4 linked regions of the Schizosaccharomyces pombe genome follow. Changing the gene in region 4 together with the main gene of any one other region gives a genetic interaction. Each region holds a gene or a part of one and is shown on either strand. Other genes may lie near its edges. The genes, in order: dad5, psm1, rhp16 and rad55.

Region 1 (3,885 bases), on a different chromosome or scaffold from region 4:
AGCAAGAAGTTCAAGTTGCTTTGATATGAACAGGTACTTTAAACAAAAAAGACGTGAACCCCAAAACAAAAACGATCTAAAAAGGGGAAATAAAACAACAAAAACGAACTAAAATACCAAAACAAATATAGAAAAATAAAACAGATATAAGCTAGAATACAATCCAGAGGTGTGGTGGAACAAAAAAAAGTAATTTGTAGACAGATTGGGGAATGGTGGCGCTATGGCTTCCTCAAATCAAATTTCCGTTTTCCCTGGAAGAGAGCAAAAAAAGAAGAAACTGCAAAAGAAAACAGATATTTATTGATTAGGTATGTAATAAGGAGGAGCCAAAGCTTAAAGAAATCAATTTACAAAATCGTTTGAAACGTTTAAAATTAGTACAACCTGCTTTTCTTTTTTCGTTGAGGTTGGCAAAGGGACGGCGTTGTTCACACCCATCTAAGCGAGGTCGAAGAAGCTCTCTTCGGTAAATCGTAAGGTGAAAATAAAGAAGCCTAACGAAAGGAACCACTTTTACCTTTTTTTAGCTAGCTATCCAATGATTGTGCGCTATCTCAAATAAAAACCATATGATTGGTACACTGACTGTTTTGTGAAGCGCAATTGACCAATCATTTCTGGTATCCAATTTTTGCAGTTTCCCTTGGTTACTTAGCCGACCGAGCTGACCAATGAACGAGATCACTTATTAGACGAACTAGAACACCCTCTTTTAGCCTGCTATTTTTTACAGAACTGCATCGTACAATGCAGTAACATAGGTTTCGGGAGTGCAGCCCGAGAGTCGCAAAACTCCCATAGCGTAAAATGCCGAAAAGCCGTATTCCGGATGCATAGTTGATACAACTCCAACACCCACATATTGAAAGAAGCCCCAAATACCGCATTGTTGCAGTAAAATAAGAAATAGCCCCATCTAATTAAGAAAGAGCACATTCCTACTTCCTTTCCTGTTATATTTCTCCTTCATTGGGGCACTTTGTCTCTTGTATTCTCCTTTTTATCATTGTCATTTGAGGTCTGCATCAAAAAAGTTGGAGACTCACATAGGAACGTCTTCTTCCACAGCATCTGAAGACTTTTGAATCCTCGCTTCGGACATAACGCGACCAGACGCCATCAGAAGCGAGGCCTGAAGAGCACCAAGACGTCGGATGGCTTCTGCTTGAATTGCGGTAACATGTAAGTGGTTTTCCAAATGAGACATGTTGGATTGCAACTTGGACAGTTGGTCCACCAAACGATTCATTTGAAAGCTTTTCATTTGACTGGGAGATGGAGATGAACTGCTTGTTCGACTAGTTGGCACAATGGTAGAACGACGCATGGTGTAAGGTGAAAGTGAAAGAAGGCAGACAGGTAGATGGAAGGTAAACAAACCAAACGCGTGTGTGATGGGCGAGTGCAGCTTTTAAGACACCGCACTAAAATGCAATCAACCTTCAGTATCGACAATTAAAGGAGACCATTACCCACTTGAGTGGTATTTCAATTTAACAAATTGCAGCGATTTCCAACAATACCGGCCGACGTTAGTATTCCTCAAAAATGAATAAGAGCGTAAAATAGCGTGGAAAGAGTGGCAGAAAAAGGCGACCAGCGCAGCGCACCTATCTTTTATGTAGCTGACAAGAAGGAAAAGGGGGACGGTAAATTTTTCGCTTACTGATAAAAAACCAAACTTTCGTTATATGGTTTAGCGAGACATAATTTCCAAGCTAATAAGTAATACCGAAATCGTTCCTTTTGCTAAATTTTTCGGGTCAGTTCCGTGGAAATAGGCAAAATTATTGGTAAGGATGGAATTATCAAGTTTTGCATAATTTCCATGGAAGTGTAGAAGGAGGATGAAGACGGAACTGATGAAAAGTGCTCCAAAGCTCCGATCACAATCATGTTGGATGAGGTGCTTTGTCCAAATCAAAGGAAATAAAAATTCTCCGTAAGCTCGACATGCTAGGCATCTTATGAGGAAGATAGGCAAATGAGTATTTTAAAGGAAAAAAGAAATGGAAAGAGCACGATCGTTAGACAAATTACATACGGAAGTCAATGTCCGTGCAAGAGAAGACGCAGCAGCGTGATGTGCATCCGTTGTTTTAATTATTGTTTGAATTTTCAAACTTTACTCAACTACGATCGGAAAACCTTTTTTTTTAATAAACTACTTGTCTTAATATCCTCGGGTTTTATTCAGTTTCAAAAGCATCGAGATTTCACTACACTGGGGTTTATCTTTTAGGTCCCCCACATCTATCATTTCACAGAGTTCCATTTCATATCGACGCTAGGATGGGGTTTGACATATAGTCTTCTTATATGTGAAAACATATAGCTTTTCTAATCAGGTTTTGTTTTTTCGTTTCAGATATATCGGAAGTGAGTTGACCGAACAATGGATTTTATCTTAGCATGGACAAATGTATCAATTCCCTGGAAATGATTCTCTTGGAAACAAAAGAAAGGAAACAGGGATACACAAACCAGTCGAGACAAATAAAATCCAACAGGAAAATTGCTTGGTGTAAGGAAATCGTCATAGAATGCTTTATGGGAGTTTGGGAAGTATTTGTAATATTTACATTTTTTTTCTACTTTTTTTTTTTTTAATTTTTTTAGTTAATGTTTGGCTATTTTCAAAGGAGGAATTCCTGAGTTAGATGAAAATTAGTTTTTAATTTGTTTCTTTTTTTTTATATAATCAAGTTGGTTCATTTAGTAACCATGCTTCCTCATACCGCTTTTTCTAATCATATTCATTACCATTTTATAAGTAATTTTTTCAAACATTCACTCATCCCTTTCTAATCATATACCCCATTTTTATTATAGTTTCTTTCATGAAAATGAATGACTCCTACACTCCATACACATACATCGTTTCGTTTCACAATTTTGTACGCTTCCCCATAAAACAAAGAAATACTTCCATTCACCACGCCCCTAACAAAAGAAAAAGAAAAGATGAAGCCCCTTTCCGTCTATGTATATATACCCTTTTTCATGCTCACACGTGTTTTTCCTGCGGTTTATCATTATCGCTTATGGAAGTGATAATGGATATCTCCCAGTTGCTTATTTCCTAAATCACTCATTTCTTATCCTTATTGCGCTAAAAATGATAACAGTCGCATATTTTCCTCGTCCCTGCTAATTTACGAAGAGTTGATTACTTCATTCCAAGAAAGACGTAGGAAGACGTAGGAATGTCAAATTGCGATCCTATTTTCCCAACTCATCTCGCTTTCACTTGGCGTTGTTGGCATTCCTTTGATTATGACGGACATTTACATCCGTAATAGATGATTGCATGTAAACGAATTTTGTGCTTTGTCAAAGTGCAAAAAAGAGCTACCGATAAACGGAGGACCGATTGTGTTGAACAACTGCACTGACTAACACAAATTTATCAATGGAAAAAAGGTATACGTCGGCGATGCTCTGATAACTAAATGAAGGCTTTTTTTTTTCCTTTTGCGACTCGCCTGCCGCCGCACACTTACTCATGTTGATAGCTCAAACAAATCAAAATACTAACTTTAACGCCGACAATGCTCCACTTGCATCTTGTCTATCTTGGCGATTATGGTTACCTCAAACACATACCGTCTTTTACCACTTATCACTAACAACTTTGTGGAGCGGATTTTCATCCTACCTTGATAATCATCTACCCTCGCACCAGTACCGCAGTATTTCTTGATAATGAGAACGGATGCAGACTAGATGGGGCAGTAGTAAAAGAGCTCGCAAAAGAAACATGAAATTTCATAAACAAATGCTGACGAAAGTATATGAATGAAACTAACATTAACACAAATATGAAATTGAGATTTGAGTCAAACCCAATAATTAAATCCAAACTTTACATGAAACTGACTA
Region 2 (7,096 bases), on a different chromosome or scaffold from region 4:
TGTGCAACCAAACATATCCATCAACTCCCAAAGTCTTGCCAGAAAACTCCTCGACATGAGAGCTTTTCTGCATAGGCTTCAAAAGTCCCAAAAGACCTTTAATTCCCATGTTTAAAGCATTCGTCAAGCACCAAAAGAATGCAGGTGCGTTATCGAGATGTTGGTTCTGTAACAGTTTTAACGTAGTACCCTTGGAAGTGTGTTGTGTATCTGATCAACAAATATATTCTTGCAGTCGATAGGCCCAAAACGAACAAGTATAAAATTTACTTTATCATTAAGAAAGGATAAATATAAAAGGCTTTGTTATTGTTTATGTGTGAAATAATTTAAGGAGCCGGCTATCATTGTTTGAGTATGCTGGTGTACTTCTTTTCTAAACATCTATTCAATCGAAATCATTAAAATCATGATAATACTATAAGTAAGTTTTTTTCTTTAAAGTTCTTTGTTTGAAATCTATCGTGATTGTTAACTAAGACTACGGTGAATCAATCAACCATTACCAAATCATTGAATTTAGCTGTATGAGGAAAACTCAAGCGCAAAATTAATATTTTAAAGTTCTATAAGCTGCGGTTTTAAAAATGTAGTGCGGTTAGCATCTAGTTGGGTTTAAACATATTTTAAACTATTCGTCGCTAATAAAACGTTTATTCTTAAAAGTATTCTTGCTAGTTTGTGACTGCAAATACTGTTAAACTAAAAAGGAAAATGCAATAGTTAGTTTCCGGAGAAAGCCTTCTAGAATAGTAGAGACTTCTCAAAATTGTATGCAGCCAAATTCATTAGTTAACAAACAGTCAAGGGGTGAGCCGAATCGTCTAAGCGTAACTGCGTTACTGGAATTATATTGAAAACATTAACCTCACTTAAACCCAACTTCCTTGAAACTAGGGATTAAACATAAACGTAGCTGACAATTGTGACTTATAATTAATGTTTCTATCATTAGCCCAGTCAATTCAGAGACAAAATCAATTAAGGACATAAAGAAAAAGCGTTGTAAATTAAAAAAGTCCTTGATCAATTATAGAAGGAAACTTAAAACAATTAAAATTAAATTCGTTAGAAATAAATAAATTACGCAAATATATATTTGCCATCCCTATTAAACATAAAGTATTCTTAGAATATATTAACACAGACATTAAGCAGCATATCACAGGTTAATATTATCATTTACTCCACATAACCTTCCAACTGTTTTTCGTTAGTATTTTAAAATTAAGAAAAAGTAATCCCTTACGTTGATTGATAATGTTCGTGAAGAATTCTCCTGTTGATCTCTATAAATACCCACTAAAGCTTCTGATTTACTGAACAACTGATTTTTCAAGGAAATGACAACAAATTGAAAACCGCTGGATGCATGCTGTCTAATATAGTTGGCAATCTTGGTAACGTTGGTTTGATCCAAAGCTGCATCAATTTCATCCAATACAAAAAATGGGGATGGCTGATAAGAGTGGATAGCAAATAGCAGAGCCAAAGCAGCCATGGTCTTTTCTCCTCCAGAAAGTTGATCCATATCTCTAAATCTCTTCATAGGTGGCATTGCATGGAACTTGATTCCTCCAAGATATGGCTCATCGAGGTCATCCAAAGTCAAATACGCTGTTCCACCAAGAGGAAAAGCAGGACTTTTGGTAAGTTCCTTATATATTGGATCGATTTGTTCCGAGATATGCGAAAAGGCAGCTTGAAATTTTTGCAATCTCTTTTGCTTAACGGCATTGAAGCGTTCTTTTGCGTTTTTGGCTGCTTTACGAGCAGCAGCAAATTCTTCATCTAACTTCGCCAAGCGAGTTTCTACTGTTTCAAGTCTCTCAATAGCCCTTAAATTAGGAGACATCTGATCCAGCTCTTCCGAATACTCTCTCAATTTTTCTTGAAGAACAGAAGCCATACTCTCAGAACCGTCATTGCGTAACTCTTCATCCAGTTCATCGTAATCCACTTCTACTCCAAATTTCTCAAAATTTATTACTGGTTCAGACGGCTCTTCGCCCATGGTGATATCACCGCTGTTTGAGACATCATCTATAGGTATGCTCGTCAAAGATCCTTCGCGTAACGGAACATCTATATCTTCTAGTTTGCATTTTCGTAAAATTGCGTGCCATTCAGATACATAGCGGTCAATCTCCGATTCTAAAAGAGTAATGTTTCCTGATAACTTTGTTAACTCAGACACTAATCGTTTGCCCACTAGCTTTTTCTCGGATGCAGCTAATAAAATTTTTTCAGTTTTAGAGTTCTCACTTGCAAAATCCTCCTTTAATAATTCAAGCTCAGCCTCGGCAGTTGCAACTTCTGATTCAAGTGCTTCCCGATTTTGCTCGTAATTATCAATAGATTCCTGATCTTTTTCAATGAATTTATGCATACGCTCTAATCGTAACCTGGTATCTGAAACACGTTGTTTTTCAAAACTAATACGATTTTCAAGTAATGATTTTTGCTTGGTGAATTCGAGTTGTTTTTGTGTAAAACTTTGAGTAAAAGTGCGATGTATCTCATCGTAAGTATGTATATCACTTATCCCAATTCGTTTGCAAAACCCGGAGAATATCTTTTCCTCAACCTTTTCTACTTGAATTTGAAGCTCATCTCTACTTTTAACAAAGTTGCGAAGTTCCATTTCCAATTCTGACAAGTGAGGCTGTTTTTCTTTGATTAAAGATTCGTAATGTCCAATTTCCTTTTTTTTGTCTTCCACGGATCTAGAAACTACTGTATATTTGTCTTTGAGTAGAGATATCTCAGATTCAAGACTATGCAACTTGACAGTATCACTTTCTGTAATCACACAAGATGACTTTTGATATTCTATTTCACCAATTTGATGCATAAGTCTATCTTTTGTTTGAGTAAGCAGATCAAAATCATGGTCATCCCAGTGTTTCGCCGACCGGTTGTTTGAAGATCCACCAGTAATCAACCCTGTTTTATGTATAACCGTTCCCTCTAAAGTAACTGTCTTGGCATTGAGACGTTTGTTATAGGAAAGGTCTCGAGCAACAGTCATTGAATCACAAATGAGTGTATTTCCAACTGCACTAATCATTACACGTTCATATTCAGACTCAAAATTCAAAACGTCAATTGCAAGTCGGGCGCCTTTGTGTGTTCCACGAAATTTTTGATTAACGGGACTGGCTGCTATGGTGTCCATTGGAAAAAAGGTCATAATACCTATGCGTTGCTCTTTTATATAGTCAATACACTCTTTAGCAACTGCCTGCGTTTCGACGACAATTGCGTCAAAATTTTTGCCTAAAGCAGCAGCGATTGCGCTTTCATATTTCTTTTGAGTAGGAGTACATAAGTCAATGATTCTTCCTTTGACTTCAGGATATATCCTTTTCAAAGCATACAATGCTTCTCTTTTTTTAGCATCCTGTTTGGATTCATTGCGGTCGGCACTTGCCTCTAAAATTTTCTGTAAACAAGATTGAAGCTCTTCATTTAATTCTTGTGTTTTATGAAAAAGCTCAGAATAAGTCAACCTCTTCTTCTGCTGATCATGCTTTTCAAGTTCCAAACTTTCAATCTTTTCATTTATTTTAGCAAGCAAATCCGCTCGCTCGGTATCAAGAGAAGAAACACTTTCATGAAGGCTTTTAATCTTCGACTCTAAGTCTCCAACGATGCTCGTTAATGAATCCTTTGATTGAGAAGTAACTTTAATATTCCTATTTAACGTCTGCAATTTGAACAATAGATTTGAGTTTAATTTGTCCGCCTCACTTCGAAGTCCTTCATACTCCTCTTTATCCTCTGGTAACAATCGCAACCCTTTGAGTTGCTCTTTTTCCTGCATGTCTTTTAAAAACTCTTTTTCAGCAGCTGAGAGTGAAGTCAATTGATTTTCTAATACTTGTAACGTACTAGCTTGGTCAGAATAATCTTTTTCTATTTCCGCAGCTTTTCTTTGAATTTTTCGGAGATTTGACTTAGACTCTAGGGCTTTCTCGGCAATTGAAATGAGCTCTGGACGTTTCGAAGCAATCAACTTTTCTTGTTTTCGAACTTTTCTATCGAATGCAAGAAGGTTTCTTCGTATACTGCCCTCTTTTTCTTTCAACTTTTCTATCTCTTTAGTGTTCTCATCTCGCCTTTCGATAAGTTGAATGGAATCTGCCTTTAATCGAGTAACCTCTGCCATATTAGAACTAATACTTTTCTCTAGATGAAAGAGTTTCCATAAAAGGTAAACTAACTGCGCAGAGTCTCGTTTTTCTTTTTGACTTTGATAACGCTCGGCTTCAGTTTTCTGTTCTTGATATTGGCGTAACTCAGCGTTGATACCACGTTTCTTGTTAAACGAATGAGCAGATAAATTTACAGCCTTGTCCTGCTCGTCTTTAGATTTATCGTACTCAGATTTATATTCCAGAGAGCCACTTATTTGTTCAACAAGCTTTGAAAGTTCTAAAGGAGATTGCGAAGCAATGGTTTCAACATCACCTTGAAAAACTAAGAAATTTCGAGCTCGAACAAGAATATTCTCCTTTTGGAGAGATCCGCAGTATTCAGAAAACGTAACTATTTCTTCATCAATTTTGTATTCAGTAGCACCAGAAGGAGTGATTGCGCGTTTATACTCTCTTTGCTCCCCATTATCCAACTCATACATAAGTTTCACATATGCTGTAGTAGGATTACTAGAATCAGTGAAATCTGTATTATCTCTTTGCAGTATTTTCCCCCGATAGATCAGTTCTTTAACATTAGTTGATCGTAAATGAGAAGACTTGACCCCTAAAACAAAAGAAATGGCATCCATTAAATTCGATTTTCCGGCTCCATTAGGACCGATAATCGAGGTAAAGTCCTCAAAAGGACCTATAATTTGATGTCCTCGATAAGACTTAAAGTTTTCAACTTCCAGTCTTAGTAAACGTCCCATTAGGAAAACTTGGTAAAAGGAATGTACAAGGTGTGTATGAAACTCGCGTACGCGTCTTTACTTGATTAGATATTGTTACCTACTCATTACGATTACATCTCATAAAGTTTCAGAAATCCACGATATAATATATAGTGCAACTTGATATTCACTGTAACAAGAACCTCGTTATTATGATATTATCCTTCCAGCGAATTACTATTCTAAGCTGCATAGCCCCTGCCTATATATGTACGATGCATCGTTATTGAAAGAAGTTTGCTGCATATAAATAGGAAGAAAATTGATGATAACAACATCCGTTTGTTTCATTATTAATGAATTTGTGGTACTCCAATCACCAGTTAAAAAATATGGCAAATAATTTCAAAGAAAATTCTCGTCAACTGATATTAACTCAATCATAATATAGATGAGCCATAAAATATTAACATTAATATCGTAATGCAATGTAGCAGTAATATTATATAATCGTAGTCAGGTAAAATATATAACAAATCACCATATTAACCCATTCGCAAAAAACTTTGATGTTTAAGCTACTCAGATCAATCAGTACATATCTTGTTAGAACTAAGGAATTAAATTATTCAATTATATAAGCGTTAAGATGGATGAATAATAGATTGGTGAGACAGATTTGGGATAGTGATGTATATAATAGAATATTAACATATAATTTACGAACTCTCCTTTATCCTCTTTATTCGATCAGAGCGTCCGTTAAAACAACTTACGCACGGTTTTTAGCCTCCCTTAGGCTTGTTATTGATATTCGCAGCATTGTCTATGAATAGTGAAAGTGTTGATTCAGATGTCGCGGCCTCTACTAGTAATAAGGGAAATGAGTTATGTAGCTCTTCCACTGACATTACGTCTTTATCAGTGAGTTCCCCGAATGAATCGGTTATTCATTCCAGTCACTCTGCAAGTGAAGCTGATGAGTACGTTTGCAAATTAAGTTATGAGGGTAATAGAAAGAAAAGAATTTATAATGGCTCTGCTGAAGCGGGTAAAGAAAAGAAGCTTCAAAAACAGCGGGCCCAAGAGGAAAGGATTCGACAAAAAGAAGCAGAGCGTTTAAAACGTGAAAAGGAACGTCAACAACGAGAGCAAGAGAAAAAGCTAAGAGAACAGGAAAAAATCGCCGCTAAGAAAATGAAAGAATTAGAGAAATTAGAGAAGGAGCGGATTCGATTGCAGGAACAACAAAGGCGGAAGGAGGAGAGGGATCAAAAGCTTCGTGAGAAAGAAGAAGCACAGCGCCTTCGTCAAGAACAAATCCTTAATAAGGAAAGACAACAATTGAAGTTAAACAACTTTTTCACCAAAGGAGTTGAGAAACGAATCGCGCCAAACGAAAATTTTGTAGCTGACAAAACGGATGAACTGAATGAGTTTGAGAAAGAGTTTCGCCCTTTTTTTATAAAGCATCAGATGTCCCTTTCCAAATATCCATCTCCGAACGAATCTGATTCTTTTTTGGATGAAGTCCTCTCAACCTCTAAATCTTATCCTTTAAAGCTAAACGACATTTTTACACCATCAGATGCTGTAAGCTCCGCAAACAGTTTAGGTGTTAGTAATAGAAATTCCGAAAACGAGGTTCGACAATTAATGAGCGCATATCAAGATCCATCTGTTTCAAAACCTCAAGAAATTTTATCTTGTTTATCACAGATTCCTATTAAATTCATTTTCTTTTATCAGGATGTTCGCCCTCCATATTTTGGATCTTACACGAAAACCCATTCCCATGGTTCTAACGTTTTATTGAATCCCTGGCTTGAAGATGAAGACATAGACTACACATATGATTCAGAAGCAGAATGGGTAGCTGATGAGGAAGATGATGGAGAAGATTTAGAAAGTGAAGATGAAGAGGTAGATAATTCCGATGATATTGTAGAGGATGGTGATAATGCTTTTGTGGATGATGAGGATGATGACAAGGATAGTGTCAATGCTTCTAATACCCATCGTTCCTCCGGCCCATTAGAGGTAATCGTAGAAGGTCCGGTTTGGGATTCAAAGTTTCTTCCTGACTTTAATTGCTTATCTTTAATTGAACCCATTAGTTCATTTTCAGCATCTACATATCTCCAAATTGATCCTAAAGAGGATTTATGGGCTTCTCAAGATACTGCTCCAGCGTCTAGTGGAATGACAATTGGACCTACC
Region 3 (7,262 bases), on a different chromosome or scaffold from region 4:
CACACTGTATCCCCACTAGTTTCATTGAAATGTTTCCAAGGTTTTAAAAAGAAAACTGATTCCCCGTCCATAAGTTGATGAACTTGTTCTCTTTGGAAGTAAGATGAGCCTGCATTGTAAAAGGATTTTAAGTAATCTGGAAGTAATTTTTTATTCTTCTTGTATGTTCGTAAAATGATGGCCCCATGTTTGTCCACAGGAGACAAGCTGGGGTTATCAATTTCAAATTTCTGGCAATCTTCATATGCTCGTCCAGGAAGTTTTGGAGAAATGTGGGTCGAATAAGCATCATTGAACTGAACACTGTTTACCGGTCCAAATTTTAGTTTAGCTTCTTGTAAAATAAAGCATTCCTCTGGTGTAAAATCAACATGAATGAGTGATGGTTTATCATCGCCTGTAATGCTATTTGAAAGTAAATGAGTGTGTTTTCTCACTCTTTCACTCAAATAAGGACGTGAATTAGGTAAGAATGTCCCAGACGTTAGTAAAAGTTGCAATTCTAATCGTTTATTTACATTTGATGGAACTTTTGCAATTGAATGCTTCGATATTGATAATGACGGTTTCGGGCAAGGTAGCTCTGCGCGATAAAAAGGATCATAAATCTCAAATTCTTCCTCAAAAAATTCTTCGTTATTTGTGTCAAAGTCAACCTTGGGCAATTTAGAAGAGACGGAATGCAAATATTGCGTATCCGTTCTTCTTTTCACCCGTGGTGAACTATTAGTCATGCCATAAATAGGAAATTGTTTGAGAAATTATTGGGCTTTTTACTTTTAATCCTTCAGTGTGCAAGTTCACTAGTTTAACAGAAGTTATGGGTTGCTGAGTGAGTTTAAGGCACTGATTGATATAAAGAATTTACTAAGTCCAAAAAGTATAAAGACATTCCAAAATCGAAAATATTATATTAAAATTGAAGATATAATGATTATCTATTGAGTTACTATTATTACAAATTTATCAGTCAAAGGTAAGTTAATGACTTTACATTGAAGCGATAAAATCTTAACTATGTTTAATTTGTTTTAAAAAACTTTAACCGTTCTATTGACAACTCAATAATAAATTATATCCATTAATAGGAATCCCCAAAAAAATAAATAAACTTCCAAAACGCATATACTGACTTAGGGAATTACGGTCCAAAAAACTAGGATAACAAAAAAAATGCAAAGGGAGATATGGCAGGTATATAAAAAGGAAACGGCCAAAATTTGGGCTAATTTTAAAAAAACAAAATTCTAATTTGAGAACAAGAATTGCATATCCTCGACAGAAAGCTGGTTCAAAGCCTTTTCGTCTTGATCTATGGTTGCATGTATCATCTGAGCTTTCTTTTCTTGTAGTTCAATAATTTTGCTTTCAATGGAATTTTCAATACACAGGGTAATTACTTTTATCGGCCTTTTTTGTCCAATACGATGAATTCGATCCATTGCCTGCCACTGTACAGCTCCATTCCACCAAGGATCCATCATAAACACTTGAGATGCCTCTGTAAGGTTCAAAGCAACACCACCTGCTTTCAACGAAACTAGAAAAATGGTAATATTAATATCGTTACTGAAAGCCTCAATAGTAGCTGCTCTCGCTTTGGGGGTCATACCACCATCTAGCTTTACACAATTAAACCCGGCTTTTCGAAGTCGCCAATGAATGAGATCTAACATAGAAGTAAATTGAGAGAAAACAATCGACTTCAGTGTTCGGTCCTTCTTACGAAGTAAGTAAAGCTCCTCAACTAATGCTTCAATTTTTGTAGATGAACGCCAACTATTCATATCAATTCTATTCAAAATCGATGCATTCTTAAACTTCTCTTCAGAAAAATCTTCTAAAGCAGGGGCACTAAGATCTATGCTTAAGGGAATGAAACAACTTGGACAGTTGACATTTTCTCCATCACCAGCTGCATTGATATATTCCGTAACGCAGAGTCGACAAAATGTGTGATGGCAACGTGATTCTATAGCATCTTGAGCGACTTCGTCACAAATCTTACAGACGATATTTTCCTGATTTTCAATATCAACTGTTTTTCGTTTGCTAGCTAACACCAGGTCAGGATGATCTGCCATTTGGCGCATTCGTGTAATTAGCTGGAAAATGTTTGCATAATTATTCAAAACGACACCTTCAGCAAGATATGTATTAAATTTTCTTTTTGAATCCATATATAAAGATTGGTATACATCTTCCTCTTCTTCGTTGAATAAATCTTTCCTCACTTCAACGACTCGAGGAGGTAATCCAAGGTCATCAGCCCTCTCTAATTTTGTTCGACGTAACATAATGTGTTTTAATAAAGAATGCACCTTTTTAAAAGCTAGCTTTCCTGGACCTTCGTATCCAAACTTTTGTATTGGTTTTAGCATTTCAGCGTTAAAATAGCAAGTATGACTCATTGGTTTATGGCCGCATTCGTCGCAATTACTTCTATCGGAAAATCTCCAGTGCAGAGATTTACATTCACATTGCAAGCAATAGTAGTAAGCAAAAGGATCTGCCCGTAGGAACCGAAGAAGTGAAAATAATTCTCCAATACGGTTTTGCAAAGGTGTTCCTGAAAGACATATCTTTCTTGTCGTTCTTAAGCCACAAACAGCTCTGGCAGTGTTACAAGTCCTTGATTTGATACCATGGGCCTCATCAAGTATAATTCGGTAAAACTCCATTTGATGAAGTAATGACTTTTCTTTTACAACACCGTTTTTCCTTCTGAATCCGCTGCGTTCCTTCCTGTAAACTGATTCAATTACATTGTAACTCGTTAGTACAACATCATAGCTCGAAAGCTCTTCTCCTGAAATATCACGAGCCTGGCCATAATAAAGATATGTACTCAGTGCTTTATTGGTATGTGTATCAATCTCTTCTTTCCATTGCATAATTGCTACAACCGGAGCAACAACCAAGGTTGGCTTACCTCGAGGTTCTGAAAGCAACAACGCAATTGTTTGAATAGTCTTACCCATACCCATTTCATCGGCCAAGATTCCTCCACCAAAAGAGGAATCTTCTTGTCGTTTTAACCAATATACACCTTCTCGTTGAAAAGGGAGAAGGTTTAGGACCAACTCTTTGGGTTGCTCGATCTGTTTCACTTCACGAGGTGCTTCTTCTTCCAATTTCTCCCAAACATGTTCTAGTTCAGGATGTTGTCGAATCAGACGATAATGGGTTCTTTCATGTGATGGAATTGATTTTGCTTGTGTTCTAGAGGAAGAGGACGCGGAAGAAGAAGCCCTAGCGGATACCCTCCTTCGTTTGGACTGGTAACTTAAAGGGATTGACTCTTCATCACTTTCCGTAGAAGAACTTGGAGCAGCTTCTGGAATTTCTACTTTACTATCAAAAGTTTCATCCTCTTTGATATCAATTATGCTAGCAACTTCATCACTTTCATCATCATCAATAAATTCGGATTCATTAGATTCTTCTGGAGATGACAATGGCACAAACTTTTTTTTCAAATTCGAGGACCTTAATGAACGTTTTCTGGCACTAGAAAAACCTGTATTGGGATTTGCTTCTACATTGTCTGTGCTGCTACCGGTGTGTGTACTGGTATCAGAAATGGATAATGGGGGTGTCGAATGTTGAGATGAGGTGTTGTTTGACTGGATAATCAATTTTTTGTTTGTTGACAGAGGTTCTTCAAACTCTTTTCCGTTCCAGCGCGTTGTCTCCATATCTAACTTGTCGTCACGCTCGACTTGTTGATTTGAAGCATTCCCCTTTGAATCACCATTATCATCTAGAACAAAATGCATATTTTCTTTTCCCTTATTACTATTCGAGTTTATTTTATTACATGACGTCCCCATTTGTGAATGTAAATTGTTTTCAACCACTTCCTCATCTTCACTTTCTACAATAATGCCCGCAATGGGAGAAGATGACCATTCATCTTGATTGCCTGGTACATCATGAATGTTATTTATCTCTGAATAAGTAGTAGAAAATGGAGCCTGCCCATTACTTTGCTCATCATTATTGTCTGCTTGAAGAGACGCCTGAGTAGTATGGTTATTGCGAGTATTTTTCCAATTTATGGAATCAATTGTATCGTTTGAATTAATATCTACAGCTTCATTTTGTAATTGGTCCACTTTTAGAGTAGATATATGCATAGTAGTGGTTGGTATGAGACAAGTTGCCACGCGATCTGAAGCGATTTAATTAAACTCAACCACACTTCCACCTTATCCTCAGCATACTAAGGATTTCTTTAAAATGTCAAGTGGAAGTCGGGTGAGAGGGCCAAATTCTGCTTTAACAGAATTTTTAAGAGTATGTGATGACTCTTTCTTAGCTCGGAGTTACTAATGCATTATTCAGTCTCAAGGTATCAATGCTTCAGCATTAGGACGTGCTCGTCCTCCTCGTCAAAGCGAGGAGTCAGCAGGGCAATCGACTGGGACAGAATCAGAAGTTATTCAAACACCGACTTCTGTTGAAGAAAACAACGAAGATGAAAACTCGATGTCGACAACGACAATTGAGATACCAGTAGTGAAACGACGAAATCTACGAAATCAAAAAAAGAAGAAGAAAACGGATGAAGAAGCTGAAGACAACGAGGACACTTTTTCAATGAATTCAAGAGCTGGGTTTTCTTATAAAGCAAGGGAGCATACGGGCAAACTAGATTTTTGCGCACACTGTAATTGTCGCTTTACAATAACCCCATACAGCAAATACAGCAATTCAGAGAAAGGGTGGCTATGTTATCCTTGTAGTCGTGGTGCTGAAGATCGATCGGTACCTGAATTAAGGACGAGAAAAAGAAAAGCATTGACCCGTAAAAAGGTGGCTGCCGCTACCATGGACGAAGAAATCAGTGTTCCTAAGCTTCAGGATTTGTGTATACGAGTTATTGCTGAATACATAAATGATATCGAAGCTTTTGGGGATATTGGCCAAGTGAATATGGACAAAATTAGCCAAATAATTTCAAAAAACCGCTCTCTTAACGATACTACTGTGAAATTATTCTTAAGTGGGGGTCAAACTGAATTAAAACTATATGATTGCTCAAAGATTACAGCAGATTCACTTTTCCAAATTGCTCAATACTGCCCAAATCTTCAAACTTTGCATCTTACTTATTGTGGTCAAATGCAGGATCAAGTTTTACACTTTTATGCGGATCATTTGACTGAATTAACAGATGTATCTTTTCAAGGTGCCTTTTTGGTTTCTTCCTCAGAATGGATAAATTTTTTTAAAAAACGGGGTTCAAAGCTTATAAGTTTAGAGCTTACGGATACTGCCCGAATTCATGTTTCGGTTATCAACGCTATAGTTGACTGTTGCCCAAATTTGATTAGCCTTAATCTCTCTAGAATTTTCTATCTTGATGATGAATGCGTCCGTCTATTAGCTGGTTGTAGAAATCTTGTCAGTTTGAAGATTGAATCACCAGGCGGCATCATTAATGATGGAAGTATATTAGATGTACTAAACCAAATTGGAAGCGGTTTGCATACTCTTAGTTTATCTGGTTGTACAAAATTAACTGATGAAGTTTTGAAACAAGGTATAGGTCCTTGTTGTGGTCGTCTTAAGCATCTAAATTTAAGTGGTTTGGAACTGTTAACAGATGATGAGGCCTCTATAGTTTTTGGTGAATGGAAGATTCAGTCAGGCTTAGAAACATTGTCCTTAAGAAGGTGTCTGTCACTTGGAGATAAAACTGTTCGTGCAGTATTGGTTAATTCAGGGCATACGCTTCGCACTCTGGATTTAAATGGAATGTCGTTTGTGACTGATGAAGCATTACAGTATATTGTCAATTTTCCATTACCTATGCTAAAAGCACTTGATGTCAGCTGGATTCGTGGAATGAATGACAAATTGGTATGCGATTTTGAAAGCAAAAAGCCAACGCTTGAGAAGCTTTTGGTATGGGGAGATAATCATGTCCTGATGCCCTCAAATCGGTTACTTCTGATAGGGCGTGAAGTTCAATAAGGATGGAAATACTTTCTTTTTCAATTTTATCAAAGGTTTTGGTTGTTGAATTGGACCTGTAATTATTCTTTTGAAAAATTTAATGACTAGTACATTATTTAAATTATCACCTTATTTGATGGACACTAAGTTCCTTGAACAGCCTCAATCTCTTTTTGTGTCTTTCTGATATTATTCTTTAACGAATATTTGTATTTGAAACCTTTTTATTTTTAATTTTATTTATTTATTTATTTTCAAATTAGATGATATGGTCTGCGAACAAATAGCTAACCATTTCTTTGGGTAATGAATTATTTTTTTATTACCATTCCCTCTCTTTACGAATGGATCTCCGAATCATTTTTACACATAATCAAACAATTTAACTACCTTTTTTTAAAAAAAAAATCCCGCTGCTCTTTGTTGTAATACAAATATCAAGCAATGTAATTTTCAATCACCTTGATTTTATATAGCATAAGATTATGAATAGTACACTAATGGTATTGCTTGCCAGACTAAAGAGGTTTACTGCTGCTCGGAAACGCAAAGCTCATCAAACAAACATAAATATTTATCCTTTTTAAACTGCAAACATTCTTTTCAAACTGTAATATTCCAATCGCCCGACAAGTTGGGCATATGAAAAATCAAACAATTGAAAACACTGGTTATGCAAGTCGATTTGGCTATCTCACAATCCGCCAGAAAAGTATGCAAAAAATATATACAAGGGCAAAAAAAAGCAAAAAGCAAGACAAGCGGTATGAGATTAATAATAATATTGAGTTGTAAACCGAAAATATTGATTCTAATGCTTAATAATTCGAGTTTACGACTACGGTCATGAGCCTCACTATAAAGAAGAATTACTTAGTGAGCCGTTGATTTATTATAAAAGAATGATTAAACGTACCTTTTGTTCAAGACTACCATTCTCCATTAAAGATATGCGATTATCTTCCTCTTGATTAATATACATCTTGAAAGAGGCTATCTTCAAACCTGTGAAATATCAATTTATATAGAGCAAATGGTCAGAGAATGAATGGGCTTTCTTCCAGAAAACGAGTTCACTTAAGCCAGGCAGGCCCTAGTCCTTATATACTATCTATTTTGCAGAGCTAAAGGGACGATTGTTAAAGCGGAGATAATGTCAGCAATACTGGACTACTCTATGATACACCATGTTGCGTATTTCTATATGTCACAAGCTCTACATTGTATTATAGATACCCGTTGATAAAAACTATTAGTAAGATTGTAAATGGAGCTTCTACTGAACCTCGTTTCACAGT
Region 4 (4,340 bases):
ATCGCAATCTTCACCCCAATACGAAAGTTGATTGGCACATTCTTTGCGCTCCATGGCAACGTTTTCATAAGATCGAAGTAAATCCTTTTCCATCTTAACGAGAGCTGCAAGGCGTTTAGCCATTTCGGGAGTAAACATACCCACAGATGGATAACGGAATTGTCTGCCGAGTTTATTAACATTTACTGCACGACGGGTAGTAGAGGGAGGAATTTGATTCTGTTTCGCTTTAGGAGGCGCGCGAAGCGTATGAATAGAGTAAGATGGTTGAGTGCCCATCATCTTGCTAATTACTTGATAAACGATTTAAGACTTTGAAAATATGTATATATAAAAAGAGAAAGGAAATACTAATAAAAAGGTTAGTATGTTAATTAGAGGTAGGTTGAAACAATGTTCATTAAAACATACTTAATCCGCCAACTCACACTAGACAAAGCGAAGTATAAATAAGGTCAGGCTCAAAATGGACTTATTAGACTACACTTTCGAAAGTAACAAAAGAGCTGTAAAGTTCAGGTAGATTTTTAGCGACTTGAACCCATGTTTTAAAGATTTGAGCTAGGCTTGAGACGTCACTATGTCAACATGGAATTTATATGTCGAAAGCATAATGTCATTATTGTCCGTACACTGAATGCGACACCTAAACAATTGAAAATTAATAAGGACTTGTCAATCAGCAAACATATAGATATCTTAATCATTTCCCTCCTCTATGACAATTAGCAATTTCATAAAAATGAACGAACAAAATAGCTTATGATACATTATGAAAAGATATGAGATCACAAATAAATCATTGAGAAACTTTTGACCAACACTCGACAAGTATTCATAGTTGTTTATGCAACGTAATGAATAGGTATAATAAATTAATAGATATGGGCAAAACAACCATCACTATGCTAAAAAATTCGTAACTGAAGCCACCATTTTTACCTAGGACTCACATTCCAAAATGGATCTCTTACGTCGTTGTGAGCTATTGGTAGGAATACTTTGATAATCCTGAATACCAGTAGATGTTAACTGAAAAGCCAACTCTGATTCTGCAGAATGAGCTGGTGGCTGCTTTGCCATGAATGCATAGCGCAGAAGCTGATGAGAGGGACGACTCTGTCCATCTTTTGATTCTTCAGTTGAATGCCTACTGTAAAGAATGAGCCGATAAGATAGATTATCTAACCAATTAGTGCTGAGAAGCGGTATCAACTTAGCACCTATCCCACTAACAACTTTTGAAGTCATCTGGGTGGTAACAAAGATAGCCACATAACAAGAGGATGTAATTTTGCTTAACAAAGAACTGATTGTACCGATTGCCTTTTTTCTGCGGTTTATTGTTGTTTTGGTAGAGGAGTTATGAAATGCAAAATTCGAGTCGTCTTTACTCGAGAACTCATTTTCTTTGTTTAACGTCAAAGTGTTTTCTTTTTGAGATGAATCTGAAAGGGAGCTTTTTTTGCTGGTATTACGACGAAGACGTAGATAAGCATAATCTTCTGGACTGGTTGGATATGCAAGTTGAATAGGCATTGATAGGTTGTCAATAATTAATAATCCAATTTCTTTAAGATGTTTTTCTTGATCGAAATTTCGTAAAAAAGCTAGAATATTCACTAAATTGGGTGCATATACAACATCGAGAAGATTTAATAACTCATCAGTATCGCATTTTTCCTCTTCATCTTGGGAAGAAGGGACGTGATTGTCTAATAGTTGACGAAGTCTCTCCATGGGAATTGGTTGACAAGTTTCGACCCAAATCACACGAGAACCGGAAAGAAGAGCGTTTGCAGTAATCTGTAAAGCCAAACTTGTTTTTCCCATCCCAGGTGCTCCACATACTTCAGAAATATACCCTCTTTTAAGACCACTTCCTCCAAACGCATCATCCAATAATTTTGAATTAAAGCCGAAACCTGGAGCAGAAAATGCTTCGTACGCACGAATAGCAGGTTGAGTCACTAGACGATCTAAAAAGTATTAGACACAGTTAGCTAGGCTGGAAGTCGCATACGTTGACTAGACAGCATTTATTTCAATGAAGGTTAAATCCAGCACAGTGCGACCTACTAGAATAACAGCGATACAGTTTATATTAAATTGATAACAGCATAAAAAGGATATAGGAAAATTTCCCTTTACATGAGAAACAACGATACGTTGTAAGGTTTGGAGGTGTTGGTAGAACGACAAAGGAAATCCTACGTGTTTTACTTTGCAATCATTTCATTAAATGTTGTTTCTTATAAGGAATAAATTATTTTAGTCTTAAGGTTAAGCAGATTAGAAGGTAACAAATTCGTAACCTTTATACATAATGGGAAATTTGACTAGGTAGGTCAACAGGAATGCAAGAGTAAGCTCAAGTTCATTTGAATCTATGATTCATTACTGCCTTTGACTTTGAACTTTAAACTTTGGGTTCATATAACGCAACATTTACATTTGTATTGAAACTCAAGAGGGTTTTAATCAAAATAGCTATTATTTTCGTACTACATTCCGTTTATGAAATAGCGTGTCGACCGATATGTGTGCAATTAGTTTACTATGTACACAATACTCATTTTATTGAAGAAATACTAAAATGGAAAATTATTAACAAAAATCGATTGCATGCCATGCTTCAATAAACGTATAAGCTCGTCAACGAAAAGAAATTGACGGAAGTTCCCATTTTCAAAGTACAATACAAGCAGTATTTATTTTTCAAAAATTTAAAATCGGTTAGATTTTTTCTTAAAGTTATGTATAAACAAGGTCTCATATACTAATAATATGTGTATATATTAGATTTCGTTGATAAAAAAGGTTCGTACCACTACACTAAATTACGCCCTCCAGTAGAACATAGGAGCTGGGGTACTACAATTTTTTCTTTTAGGCATTTACTAATCAAGTTCTGCCAAGTCATTGCCATAGTTAAGCATTTTCTCTTTTCAGAATTGAAATTCTGTAATATAGAAAAAGAATTTTAAATTTATGGAAATTGGTATGAACTTGGTATTTTACTAACATAAACGGGGAAAATGAGCCATGAATTTTCACCTGAAAATACGGCGGTTCTGTTCGAAGCCATGAAGCAGGAGCAGCATAATAGGAGACGTCGTGTTCCTATGGAGAGACGAAGAAGGGTGGTTCTAGCCTGCTTTAACTGCAAAGCCCGGAAAGTTCGTTGCGACGGGGCAAACCCATGCAAAGCTTGTGCTTCCAATAATTTGGAATGCACATATCCAGTAAAGGATGAAAAAGAAATGGATTATTCTAAGGACTACTTTATTGATCTTTCAAAAAGATACAAGTGTTTAGAATATATTGTTGAACGTCTTTGTTCCACCAAAGTTTCGACTTATACTACACCTTCATTGATTGAAGTTTGCAATCGTATAAGCAACCAAAAATCACTATTATCTTCAGATGTCTTTTCCCTCAATAGTGAAAGCACCAATAGTCAACGTGACGTGGATACCCTTACACAAGGTGCACTTGTTTGTTCACAAATTCAGCAAGATCCAACGGTCGTAGCAGAGGATACGAACAATGGAATCAATGCTGATGCTAGCGATCAAAGCGTTGACGAAATCATGAAATTAATTGGAAAAATAAAAGTTGACTCTAACGGCGAATCCCGTTATATAGGAGCTTCTGCTGGTGAAGCATTCGTTGACTCTGTTCAAAGTGAACTACTTGTCGATCCTTCTTTTTCCGAGCTGAGCGCGTATTCCCATACCCATCACAGTTATCCTCCGAATGAACATGATGTAAATGCTGTTCAAAAAGCGCTGAGTCTTCTCCCTCCTCCTGAAGTTTCAGATTTTCTTATCAAATCTTTCTATGGCCATGTTCAAGCAAATTTTTTCTTTTTCCATGAAACATTACTTCGTTATCGTTTAAACCTTATCATGAGCTTCCAAAATCCATCCGTTGACCCTGGCTTTCTTTGCTTGCTAATGATGATCTTTGCACTTGGTAGTATGTTTGCTCACATGGAAATTCGTTCTGCTAGCAATCCTTTTGACAACCCAGGAAAACAGTTTTTTGATACTGCTAGGCTTTTGTTACCACAAGTAATTCAGCAATGCAAACCAAGCTTGGTTCAGGCTTCCATACTTATGGGGTTGTATCTTCAGTCTACACTTTCCCAAAAGAGTTCCTATACTTACTTCGGACTTTCTTTATCTGCTGCTGTCGCAAACGGGTTGCATCGTAGCTGTGAAAATCCAAATATTGATCCCAAGACCAAAGAACTTCGTAATCGCCTATGGTGGTCGGTTTATACCATGGATCGCTTAATCAGTATTGCTACAGGACGTCCACTTTCTATTGCGGAC

Evidence for each region.
Region 1: mutations in rad55 (region 4) and dad5 impair growth when combined (synthetic growth defect), as found in Schizosaccharomyces pombe (one study listed by BioGRID).
Region 2: mutations in rad55 (region 4) and psm1 impair growth when combined (synthetic growth defect), as found in Schizosaccharomyces pombe (one study listed by BioGRID).
Region 3: mutations in rad55 (region 4) and rhp16 impair growth when combined (synthetic growth defect), as found in Schizosaccharomyces pombe (one study listed by BioGRID).

What each region holds. Positions count from the first base shown.
Region 1 is NC_003421.2:1,669,276-1,673,160, forward strand, and holds dad5 (DASH complex subunit Dad5), read right to left. Parts: upstream 1,588-3,885; 5' UTR 1,331-1,587; coding exon 1,046-1,330; 3' UTR 669-1,045; downstream 1-668. Other genes in the region: SPOM_SPCC417.03 (uncharacterized protein), read left to right, coding at 2,728-2,776, 2,968-3,089. UniProt on the Schizosaccharomyces pombe protein: Component of the DASH complex that connects microtubules with kinetochores and couples microtubule depolymerisation to chromosome movement; it is involved in retrieving kinetochores to the spindle poles before their re-orientation on the spindle in early mitosis and allows microtubule depolymerization to pull chromosomes apart and resist detachment during anaphase.
Region 2 is NC_003423.3:2,538,562-2,545,657, reverse strand, and holds psm1 (mitotic/meiotic cohesin complex ATPase subunit Psm1/Smc1), read right to left. Parts: upstream 4,943-7,096; 5' UTR 4,916-4,942; coding exon 1,250-4,915; exon of another isoform or gene 1,204-1,249; coding exon 1,183-1,203; 3' UTR 501-1,182; downstream 1-500. Other genes in the region: exonuclease I Exo1, read right to left, coding at 1-109; histone H3-H4 chaperone, CAF assembly factor (CAF-1) complex subunit A Pcf1, read left to right, coding at 5,705-7,096. UniProt on the Schizosaccharomyces pombe protein: Involved in chromosome cohesion during cell cycle and in DNA repair. Central component of cohesin complex. The cohesin complex is required for the cohesion of sister chromatids after DNA replication.
Region 3 is NC_003421.2:101,438-108,699, forward strand, and holds rhp16 (ATP-dependent helicase), read right to left. Parts: upstream 4,348-7,262; 5' UTR 4,300-4,347; coding exon of another isoform or gene 4,243-4,299; 5' UTR 4,140-4,242; coding exon 1,248-4,139; 3' UTR 987-1,247; downstream 1-986. Other genes in the region: raf1 (CLRC ubiquitin ligase complex WD repeat subunit Raf1/Dos1), read right to left, coding at 1-734; rhp7 (DNA repair protein), read left to right, coding at 4,243-4,299, 4,348-5,982; SPOM_SPCC330.19C (uncharacterized protein), read right to left, coding at 6,568-6,820, 6,881-6,900. UniProt on the Schizosaccharomyces pombe protein: Involved in global genome repair (GGR) via nucleotide excision repair (NER), in conjunction with rhp7, after UV irradiation.
Region 4 is NC_003424.3:2,065,726-2,070,065, forward strand, and holds rad55 (DNA recombination mediator, RecA family ATPase Rad55/Rhp55), read right to left. Parts: upstream 2,190-4,340; 5' UTR 2,040-2,189; coding exon 2,024-2,039; intron 1,980-2,023; coding exon 943-1,979; 3' UTR 717-942; downstream 1-716. Other genes in the region: eisosome BAR domain-containing protein Pil2, read right to left, coding at 1-279; SPOM_SPAC3C7.04 (transcription factor), read left to right, coding at 3,039-4,340. UniProt on the Schizosaccharomyces pombe protein: Required for radiation resistance and meiotic viability and acts in recombination and recombinational DNA repair pathways.